3 linked regions of the Arabidopsis thaliana genome follow. The protein of the gene in region 2 purifies or fractionates together with the protein of the main gene of each other region. This does not show direct contact. Each region holds a gene or a part of one and is shown on either strand. Other genes may lie near its edges. The genes, in order: GDH3, MTHFR2 and GDH2.

Region 1 (3,756 bases), on a different chromosome or scaffold from region 2:
TTTTCCATGGCATTGAGAAAGTAATTACCTTGGAATCAATGTGCTCTGGTTCTCGAAGAAAGCTTTTTTGTTTTTGTTTTACCTTTTGCTTTTTTCCATCTCCTCGAGTTTCTTGGGGTCATTGTGAATAAGAAAATGGGAACCGACGTTAAAGGAGCGGCAGACAGATGGAGAGAAGAGAACGCTCGGAGGTGATGGTAATAATGAGACTTGGTCCCTTGAGAGAGCATTTAAGTTTAGTTTTTCACTTAGATATTATTGGGCTTCAAGCCCATAATTTTATAGGACAATTGTGGCCTTTAATTGATTTTTGAATTTTAGGTTTGATTTTAGACTTTTTAATATTCTAAATACATGTTTTGCTTTTCGTAGAGGGAATGGCCTTTTATATTTGTTTGAGTTATTATTTTTCATTTATTAAAAAGTGATAGAAAGCTAATGCATAACGTTTTAAAAATACTAAATCCTTGACATTAGCTACCATGAACAGTATTCTTTAATGGGGTATTATTTCTGTATATATATTGGTTTGACCAAAGAATATAAAAAAATTGCTTCATTTAATTGTTATGCATTAGCTTTCTATCACTTTAATATTTTAAATACATGTTTAGCTTTTCGTAGTTTGTTGTTTATTAGGGAATGGCCTTTTAGGAGAAAGTCCAATTGGTTTTTTTTTTTTTTTTTTTTTTCATGTATTAAAAAGTGATAGAAAGCTAATGCATAACGTTTTAAAAATACTAAATCCTTGACATTAGCTACCAAGCCTACCATGAACCGGATTCTTTATTGGGGTATTATTTCTATATATTGGTTTGACCAAAGAGGGTGAGATCAAATTTGGAAACACTATTTACGGTCAATGTTGTTATTACGAAATTGATATCTTCTTTTGGAAATTGAAAGAGAAAGAAATCTTGGTGGAAATCCACAATAAATCAATTATATTAGTGGAAGCATAAATCATGGGGAATCTCTTTTCCAAAAAGATTCTTTCATGGTGGAATCTTGTAATTCTATATGTTTCTTGATTTGTTGCATCCTCTCGTGTCCTCCTCTAATTCCAAAAAGATTCTGATTTGAGTATCTAAAAAAACATATATCCGTAGAATCTTTTCAATTAAAACTGAATATTGTATGTGTGTGATAAGTTTATACGTTTTTTTCCCACTAGCTCACTAAAGTGTATACGTTTTTTTTTGTCACCCTCTCACAAAAGTGTATACGCTATGCCTATATGTGTAGGGGCAAGTAGAATTGAATAAGTTAATAACACGTAAAGATCTTATGACATGCAAGATTCATTTCGGGTCGTATATCACAAATATGTAAATGATTATTAATATATATATAATCGTAGATAATAAAACAAAAAAAAAGTATTATTATCGTCCCACATTAACGTATTACAATTTGACTATGATTTTTCATGCACGAGTATAGTCATCCGGTCCAATGCATGCTATTGCTAGATCATTATTGTATCATATTTTCTTATTTAAAAAAAAAAACAAATTCTGAAAAACAATATCTTGGTCCTTGCTTATTAGGTGGGTACTAATTAGGTAATACGAAATGTTATTTTTTCCTTTAATCTAGATTTAAAATGAATAAAATGACAGTGTGTGACACAATAAGATAAATTTTACGAGCTATCTCTTTCATCCATGTAATATTTATAATCTTGTGAAATCTTGATTTTTCCTATTTTTATTCTGATCTTTTTGTAATGAAAAGAATATATTTATTCTGCTTGATTAGTCTACGGATTTCCTTTTCATTAATGAATATTCCATTATTCTGATCTAGTTTATACACATGGTGAAGACATGGGCTATTTCTATAATCTATATATTTTTTTTGTGTGAGAACTTTGCTAAACAGACACATAGTATTCTGAATACTCAAAATCAGGATCAATTATGGGTATCATCTTATATGATTATTCATATTCCTTATATAAATTATCTTTTATTATAAATATAAATAACAAAATTTTCATTCTCATATTCCATAACACGAAGTGTGTACGTATCACTCTATATAAATAAACTTGCAATAACATAAGCAAGACTCACATTTTTCCAACTGTCTTCATATCAGACTCTCTGATCAAATAAACCCAAAATAAAGAAGAGAGAAGAAAGCCATGAATGCTTTAGCAGCAACCAACAGAAACTTCAAGCTTGCTTCTAGGCTTCTTGGTTTAGACTCAAAGCTCGAGAAAAGTCTTCTCATTCCCTTCAGAGAGATCAAGGTTCGATGTTTTCCTCTGTTTTCTTCTTCCATCTATAACAGATCTGCAGAACCGATCCGGTTCAAGATCATTTGAACGGAACTAACCAACTATTGCAGGTGGAATGTACCATACCAAAAGACGATGGAACTCTAGCATCCTTTGTTGGATTCAGAGTTCAACACGACAATGCAAGAGGTCCCATGAAAGGTGGAATCAGATATCATCCAGAGGTTTGTTTTACTCTGTTTTTTTTTCATCAAACCAAAACAAATTCAATATTGGCATGAAGTAAACCAGATTTCGGTAATCGACAGGTTGAACCGGATGAAGTAAACGCTTTGGCTCAACTTATGACATGGAAAACAGCAGTGGCTAAGATACCTTATGGAGGAGCCAAAGGAGGAATCGGTTGTGACCCGAGCGAGCTAAGTCTCTCAGAGCTCGAACGTTTGACTCGAGTTTTCACTCAGAAGATTCACGATCTTATTGGGATTCATACTGATGTTCCAGCTCCTGATATGGGAACCGGTCCTCAGGTTTCGAAAACATGATCTTGAAGTCTTCATCTTGTATTTTACGTGTTGTTCTTGTCTGAAATATAGTGATGAAAATTTTCAGACAATGGCTTGGATTCTTGATGAATACTCAAAATTCCATGGACATTCTCCTGCTGTTGTCACTGGAAAACCCATTGTAAGTGACCGTTCTAATCGCGGTTTTAGGTTGGTTCGGTTTATGTGTTCAACTAATCTAAAACTGAATGAGATTTGATTTTTGAGGATGATGTTTTGAGCAGGATCTTGGTGGATCTCTTGGGAGAGATGCTGCTACAGGAAGAGGAGTGTTGTTTGCAACAGAAGCTTTACTCAACGAACATGGAAAGACCATATCTGGACAGCGATTCGCCATCCAGGTAAAAGAAGTTACAATGTTTAGTCAGAGAGATTACTTCGGTGTCAGGGTACTCATACTGTCTCTGCGTTTTAGGGCTTTGGAAATGTGGGTTCTTGGGCAGCGAAGTTGATAAGTGACAAAGGTGGTAAGATTGTGGCGGTGAGTGATGTCACAGGAGCAATCAAGAACAATAATGGAATTGACATCTTGAGTTTGCTCGAGCATGCTGAAGAAAACAGAGGAATCAAAGGGTTTGATGGTGCTGATTCAATCGATCCTGATTCGATTCTTGTCGAAGATTGTGATATTCTTGTCCCTGCAGCTCTAGGGGGAGTCATCAACAGGTCTTTTATAGTTTCTTGTCTCAAAAATATTAATCTATTCTCTATCATGATTTCCTCTAAACCTCTGGCTTTGGTCTGTTTTAGGGAAAATGCAAACGAAATAAAAGCCAAATTCATCATTGAAGGTGCTAATCACCCAACTGATCCTGAGGCTGACGAGGTTATTCGAAAATCTGATACTTTGTTTTTGCTCTTTCTTCTTCTCAAACTCGCGTAACAGAAACTCTGTAATATCTGTCTCCGCAGATCTTGAAGAAGAAAGGTGTTATGATCCTCCCA
Region 2 (3,756 bases):
AGTACGGAAAACATTTGCAGGGCGTCTCCAGGGTAAAGAACGAGAAATTTTGGACTCATCAATCATACCAAGATTCTGAAACAACAACAAAATAGTAAAGCTACTCCACTATCAGTATCATGCTTTACATCAAGTAGAAAAAGTGAGGACCAACCATCAATATTGCAAGAGCAGATTTCTCCATGTTCAATGTGTAGAGATGAAGAGACTTGACTCCATGAGCCAACATCTTTTTACACATCTCTGTTCCAAGGTGAATACCATAGGCTTTCACAGCTTCTTCGTTATCCTTGATAGGCTCCAAGGCAGCCATCACCTCAACTGGTATCTACATTAATATAATCATATGTAAATTCATCTATCTTTTTTTCACAAAAAGCACAGCTGGTATCTACATTAATATAAAGAATTCTCTTTGAATAGCTATCCAACAAACACTTTCTCTGAAAACAATAATATAATCAAGTATCTCAATTTCATCTAGCTGATCACGAAACCTTAAATACACTTTTTTAAAAACATATCCTAAGCTAGCAAACAAACACCTTTATGGAAAGGCAACAAGCAATATCATTCATCTCCTAAAAGGTGATTCATTTGCAGGAACTGGTGTTTACTAAACGATCAAAACTTACCTTAGTCTTGCAGAAACCAGTCATACGCAAAAAGCCTCTGTAGTTATTAATAGGCATAATTCCAGGAACAATGGGACAACTAATCCCAATTTGCCGACAATCATTCACAAACTTGAGGAATATATCAGTATCATAGAAAAGCTGAGTAACAATCAGATCAGCTCCAGCATCAATCTGTTCCAAGACAAACCCAAATTCAAAAATTGATGCAGACATTTAAGAACAAAGCAAAACAAAAACAAACAAAACAAACCTTTTTCTTCAGATACTCAAGATCACTCTGATAAGCTTCATTAGACGCAAGACCATTCTCACCAATAACATCAGGATGCGCCTCTGAAATATCAAAACACATAAAAATCCAATCTTTAGCTACAAATCACACGAAACAAAGAAATCAAATTCGAATTCGAGACATTACCAGGATAACCAGCGACAGTGATACCAAAGTAATCACCATACTTGCTACGAATGTGATTAACAAGATCCAAAGCACAATCAAAACCACCTTCAACCTGAACAAACTTATCTTGACCATGAGGAGGATCACCTCTAAGAGCAAGCACATTCTGAATCCCATTAGATCTAATAGTCTCAAGAGCATGATCAATCTTCTCAACAGGCATGTTAGTACACGTAAGATGCATCATACTCTCAACACAAACAACGTTTTGCATCCTCGAAGCTATATCAAGCGTTAGATCTGCGGTAGATCCACCAGCTCCCCAAGTGATATCGCAAAACGTTGGACCATAAGCAACCATTCGATCCATTCTCTCAAAGAGATTGTCGACTCCATCTTCTGTCTTTGGTGGGAAGAATTCGAAGGAAAACGCTGTTTTGCCTTCGTCGGCTAATGACTGGATCTTATCTATCACCTTCATCTTCTTTTCGAAATGGAGAAGAAGAATGAGAGACAAAGGCGAGTTCTTTCAGGTTCTTCTACTCACTGCTTTATAGTAAACAGAGAGATTCCAAAATGTTTGGTGAATTTTAGACTTTACCTTACCCGTCCACTTCCTTATATTATTTTCATTTTTAAGACAAAATCATACTTTAAATAAAGTATAATTACATAATTTACATTTAATCATTGTTTTGTGCGAAAATCCATGTAGTTAGACAACATGAGTTACATTTTTATGCTTGACAAAAAAAAACATTTTTATTAAAGTGTTTATTATTCAAGAGATTTACCAAACCATTCTAAAGTGAAAAAAATGAAGAATCCGAGTTATTTGATATTAAGATAGTCGAGTTGATATTAGTAAACAAGATGAGTTACATAATTATTTTAAAGGAATGTGATTAGTAAAAGATTTACCAACCACAATTAGATTTGTCGTTATCAATCCCCAACCCCTGCAGTCTATGCTTTTTGAGTTGGTGAACCAGAACCACACACCCACATCACCCACCTACTACCAAAAAACCAATGATCCATCACTTTTGTTTAACAAAAATAATCTACTTTTACCAAAAAAAAAAAAAAAAAAAAAAAATCTAATTAAAATTTTCCGTTTTTCACTTACAGTGTATCTTTAAACTTTACAAAACTTTTTCCAATTTAAAACTGTTATGTTGTTTTAGTAATTTTTCACTTGTTTAACTCATTTTGCATTTGAAGGAATTTGAAACGTTAATCGCTAAAACAAAACTGGTCAGATTTTGCAAACACCGGCTTTTGTCGGCGACACCGACACAGTCACACTCACACAGATGCACGAATAAGAACAGCACATGCAAACAAGAACAAACCGGTCTTTGGATACAAATTTTTAAAAGCTAAACCGGATATGAGATTACCGGTTCTTACAAAGTCAATTACACACCACGAAGGTTCTTGCAAGACATCATCATTTGAGATCCCCATGAAAAAAGAAGGAAGGAGAAGAAAGTACAGATGTGGTTACACAAGTAGATATATGATATCTCTTATAATGGTTGTACAAACACAGGTCACAAGTTAGACGCAACAAACAATGTCACTGCACCAATCCCAGTCAGTCAGACCCGGGTTTTTTGGGATACCTTTAGTTTACCAAGACAGGTTATTTTGGTTTCTCAACTTCAAAGCAATCTGCAGAAACATAGCAGCCAGGGTAATTTAATACTCTATGCTTCTGGGAGTTTTAATGTTTCATTAAGAGAGTGAAGAGTATAAATCACCTGAAAACAATATTAGACAATCTCCCAGTCTTCTCTCGACATGTCGACAAACTCGGTAACACCATCCTCGAACATCACCTGGACCAAGTTTAAAGATGTTAACAGAGAGGTCTTAATTGAGAATGATTTTGCCAAGTTCGATGGTGAGGAACAAGTATTGGCTAATTGTAATACCGAGTGCTTTCTTGAATACTCATCAAAATGTCTAACGAGGCCAAAACACCTGAAAATCTCAAAAGATAAAACATTGGATGAGAAAAGCATAGAATGAGTCATAAAACTAATCCACGAGTTCAAAACTCAATAAATACCTATCACTCGTGGGGCGAGATAACCTGATCACCACACCAATGCAATTACGCGAACATGTATCCCTTTGACTAAGATTGTTCCATGATTTTCCTGGAGAAACATGGGAATCCAAATTACTTTCTTACAACCAAAACACAATAAGCTACTCTCGCAAATTGAGCAGAAAAAATCCAAACTTACCTGCATCTATGTGTCTATTTACAAGTCCATTTTGATGCACCTAACCAAAAGTGGGGAAAGAAAAAGAGTCACTTAGACCTCATCACACAAATTTTTCAGTGACTGTGAAACTATGCCAGGGCAAAGACGAGATATATATTTGATTCTTCTTTTCAGATAAAATTTGAAAATACCTTGGGCAGTGTCTGGGCCAATTCATGTGCCACTAGATTAAAAGCTTCATCCGAGGCTATCTTAGGTTTGCTAGGTTTTACACCAAGCTTCCTTCTGCAACCTACAGCCCCACAATGGCAGTCTTGATCTGCACCAAACTGAACAAACCTGCTCTATTTCTTAGTGTCACAACTCAACATAAAAACAGATATGTTACAAAGTAAACTGGAGAAGGAGGATATAAACTTACTGATAATCATAGGTCAAATGCTCTCCCTTTTTGATACCACGGGTGGCGAAAATGCCG
Region 3 (3,756 bases), on a different chromosome or scaffold from region 2:
TGTTGTATAAATACAGGACGGTGTTCTATGGAGAATACAAGTGTTTCGGACCAGGGTCACACTTAGAGAAGAGAGTGCCTTACACACAAGATATTGACAAAAACGAAGTTACGCCTTTCCTCACTCTTGGTTACATTAAGGGCTCCACATGGCTACTTCCTCCTCCTAAATACTGAAATTTTTCTTAAGACAACTTATTTGTTGTAACACCGTTCTTTAATTTATAATTGAAATGTTCCCATCTTTTTAGTTTCTTTATTTTTTTTTTGTATTGCTTAAGATATGAATTGATCAATATTTTTTCTACATATATAAATCTTCCAATTCATTCATTTCTATATATACCGGATGTTTGTGGTGTTTTTGTTTTCCTTTATTTAGAAATTCCTATAGGATATATATACAAAATTTGTTTTTGTAAAATATCATAATTATGTTCACACCCTATTGAGTTAATGATTTGTTTTTGTTTTTCTTATGTTAAACGTTCATGGTATATATGTTTAAAGTACCAACAAAAAGAAAGAGTCAATGTCTATCCATGATATATATGCTTTTATTAAACATTTTGATTATTTTAACCAAAAAAAAGTAGAACACACACATTTTCTAGATCTCATCATTTTAATAGTTCTAGTTGCAAATGTTAAACTTCAATATTTTTCGTATATATATGAATCAGCTTCTTCTTTCTTTAATTTTCTCGGCGAATTAGTATATTTTAATCCATAAGAGATGCATGCATAAATTTTATTGAATTAAGTGAAGACCCAATGGTCAAAAGAAAAAAAAAATATAGATATGCACCGACGAAGCCGCCGCGAGTAGCCGCGTCACAGCCAGGTCAGCAAAAAGTCGCCATCCAATTAAAGAAGAGAAGGATAGCAACTTCTGCAACGTGTTCTGCTGAGTCTGACTTAGATTCGGAATCTGGTTCTTACGATTTAATGACCATCCGATTTTCAACGGCTAAGATTGTTTAGAACCATTAGTACAATATTGTCACATCCGCAGAGAATCCACGCCCCTAAATGAGCTTTACTTCCATGTTTTTCGCATCTCCTCGTGATAACATCGACGATCAATTTTTTTTCTTTCACGTTTTGTTGATATATATAAATACGTTTTCGGAAATGTTTTAAATAAATATTGTTGGTCATATTCTATAGTATATTCGGATTAAAATCATTTTTAATTTCACTAATTATGGAGAGATATTCCTAAAATGCCTTAGTATTTAAAGAATGCGAGTCAATTGCACTAGATGCATGTTTTTATTTTGTTTCTAACGTGGACCTTATGTAAGCAGGTCTGAAGTTTATCCACAATTTGCTGTACTAATTGATAACATTTGTATATGTATTCCAAATATGAAATGTCATTAAATGTCTCATAAAAGTGATAATACAATACTGTATTTGGGAAAAATAAATGAGTCATACAACATAGTAATCAACAAGGTAAAAAGTCATATAACGCCGTCCCCAAAAACAGTCTGTCCCAGCTCCATCCTAATTGGGTATCCACGTCCCGATCCTGTCACAGGACACCAGTAAGAAAACGGAAACCGAAAATTTCAAGAAACCAATATCGTTTTCTTTTCCTCAATTAAAGTTATAAAAAAAAAAAAATCCCTGAAAATATCACATGGTTTTTTAAAACAATTAGTGTTAAAATCAAAATTTACTACCTTCTCCACCGTTATTTACGAATTTACCATGTTGGTATATTCTTAAAAACTTTTGTAGTTCTTGTAATTACTAAATTTTTTTTCCGTAATTTTTTCGATTATTATTTATAACTTTCCAACTCAAGCCAATATTTTTTTAGTAAATTTTAAAGGAATGTTAATCTTCTAAAGATATGTTTGACTTAAAAAGGAGTTAAAAATGATGAGATAGCCAAAAAAAAGATTAGAGAAATCCAAATAAATAATAAGGGGTAAAAGAGTCATTGCAGTCGATAATTAGTCTCCGTCTGACGTAGGATACGTCAAAAATATCCGATCTCATTCAAATTACGCTTTCTCTTCTTTCCCCTACAAATACTCAATTCTTTCTTCTTCAATTCATCACAACAAATCAAAAACTCCAAGTTCTTACCTTTTTCCCATTTACAATCGGTAAATTTCTCCGATCACGAGATACAAATTTCACTTTCTGATATCTTGGATCTTCCGATCACTTTGAATTTTTTGGTTTGTTGATTTTTTTTTTTTTTTTGTTCCATAAAGTTCGAATTTTTTATAGAGAAGAAACCATGAATGCTTTAGCTGCAACAAACAGAAACTTCCGTCATGCATCTCGAATCCTGGGTTTGGATTCGAAGATCGAGAGAAGTCTTATGATCCCATTTAGAGAAATCAAGGTTTGACTTTTTTTTTTCCTTTTGAGGTTTTACTCTTTTGTTTCGTTTTTGGGGAAAATTCGTCTCAATCTTTGTTTGGATTTTTTTACTTTTGATTTCAGGTTGAGTGTACGATTCCTAAAGACGATGGCACTCTGGTTTCATACATCGGATTTAGGGTTCAACATGACAATGCTCGTGGACCCATGAAAGGTGGAATCAGATATCATCCTGAGGTAGGGTCTTTTATCATTTGTTCTTGATCTAGGATTTAAAGTTGACAACTTTGGGGGTTATAGATTGAATCTAGGGATTTGAATTAAGGGTTTTGATTTTTTGGTTTGAAGGTTGATCCAGATGAAGTTAACGCACTAGCTCAGCTGATGACTTGGAAGACTGCTGTAGCAGATATTCCATATGGTGGTGCTAAAGGTGGAATTGGATGTAGTCCTCGTGACTTGAGTTTGAGCGAGCTTGAGAGGTTGACTCGTGTGTTTACACAGAAGATTCATGATCTTATCGGTATTCATACCGATGTGCCTGCTCCTGATATGGGCACTAACGCTCAAACCATGGCTTGGATTCTTGATGAGTACTCCAAGTTTCATGGTCATTCCCCTGCTGTTGTCACTGGAAAGCCCATTGTAAGGCTTTTAAGATTTTGGTTATATCATTCTGAGTCCGGAATCTGTTGTTTATTCTATGGATGTTTTCTTGATTTGAATTAATTCGATGTTTCTATGTGATTACCATAGTTTTGAGCTTTTTGGTATAGAAGTAACTGTTGGATCACTTTGGTGTAGGATCTTGGTGGTTCATTAGGTAGGGAAGCTGCCACAGGTCGTGGTGTAGTATTTGCCACCGAAGCTCTTCTTGCTGAGTACGGGAAATCGATTCAGGGTTTGACATTTGTTATTCAAGTAAAACCATTATCAGCTAATCTCAGATCTCAAGCTTTATTGTGTATATGATATAAGACAGAAATGTTGAGAGATTTGGATGATATGTGACAGGGTTTTGGGAATGTTGGAACATGGGCTGCGAAGCTGATCCACGAGAAAGGCGGTAAAGTGGTTGCAGTAAGCGACATTACTGGTGCAATCAGGAACCCTGAAGGTATCGACATCAACGCTCTCATAAAACACAAGGACGCAACTGGAAGTCTCAATGATTTCAATGGTGGAGACGCTATGAATTCAGATGAATTGCTCATTCATGAGTGTGATGTTCTCATTCCATGCGCTCTTGGTGGTGTCCTGAACAAGTCAGTTCAAAAACTTCACTCATCAAATCAACACCAATCATAGAGATTCACTTTCTGATTCTTATATTTCCCAATATTTGTTCAGGGAAAATGCTGGAGATGTGAAGGCAAAGTTTATAGTAGAGGCAGCTAACCATCCAACAGAT

Evidence for each region.
Region 1: the proteins of MTHFR2 (region 2) and GDH3 fractionate together in Arabidopsis thaliana (co-fractionation; one large-scale study listed by BioGRID). This does not show direct contact.
Region 3: the proteins of MTHFR2 (region 2) and GDH2 fractionate together in Arabidopsis thaliana (co-fractionation; one large-scale study listed by BioGRID). This does not show direct contact.

Annotation. Positions count from the first base shown.
Region 1 is NC_003074.8:1,004,764-1,008,519, forward strand, and holds the start of GDH3 (glutamate dehydrogenase 3), read left to right. Parts: upstream 1-2,016; 5' UTR 2,017-2,149; coding exon 2,150-2,257; intron 2,258-2,355; coding exon 2,356-2,469; intron 2,470-2,553; coding exon 2,554-2,775; intron 2,776-2,857; coding exon 2,858-2,932; intron 2,933-3,035; coding exon 3,036-3,152; intron 3,153-3,226; coding exon 3,227-3,477; intron 3,478-3,561; coding exon 3,562-3,637; intron 3,638-3,723; coding exon 3,724-3,756.
Region 2 is NC_003071.7:18,260,064-18,263,819, reverse strand, and holds the start of MTHFR2 (methylenetetrahydrofolate reductase 2), read right to left. Parts: upstream 1,632-3,756; 5' UTR 1,520-1,631; coding exon 1,057-1,519; intron 972-1,056; coding exon 889-971; intron 810-888; coding exon 636-809; intron 329-635; coding exon 155-328; intron 76-154; coding exon 1-75. Other genes in the region: histone-lysine N-methyltransferase ASHH3, read right to left, coding at 2,817-2,882, 2,979-3,027, 3,116-3,206, 3,297-3,336, 3,470-3,617, 3,700-3,756.
Region 3 is NC_003076.8:2,353,894-2,357,649, forward strand, and holds the start of GDH2 (glutamate dehydrogenase 2), read left to right. Parts: upstream 1-1,865; 5' UTR 1,866-2,259; coding exon 2,260-2,367; intron 2,368-2,468; coding exon 2,469-2,582; intron 2,583-2,693; coding exon 2,694-2,990; intron 2,991-3,149; coding exon 3,150-3,266; intron 3,267-3,359; coding exon 3,360-3,610; coding exon of another isoform or gene 3,611-3,653; exon of another isoform or gene 3,654-3,695; coding exon 3,696-3,756. Other genes in the region: AT5G07430 (Pectin lyase-like superfamily protein), read left to right, coding at 17-176.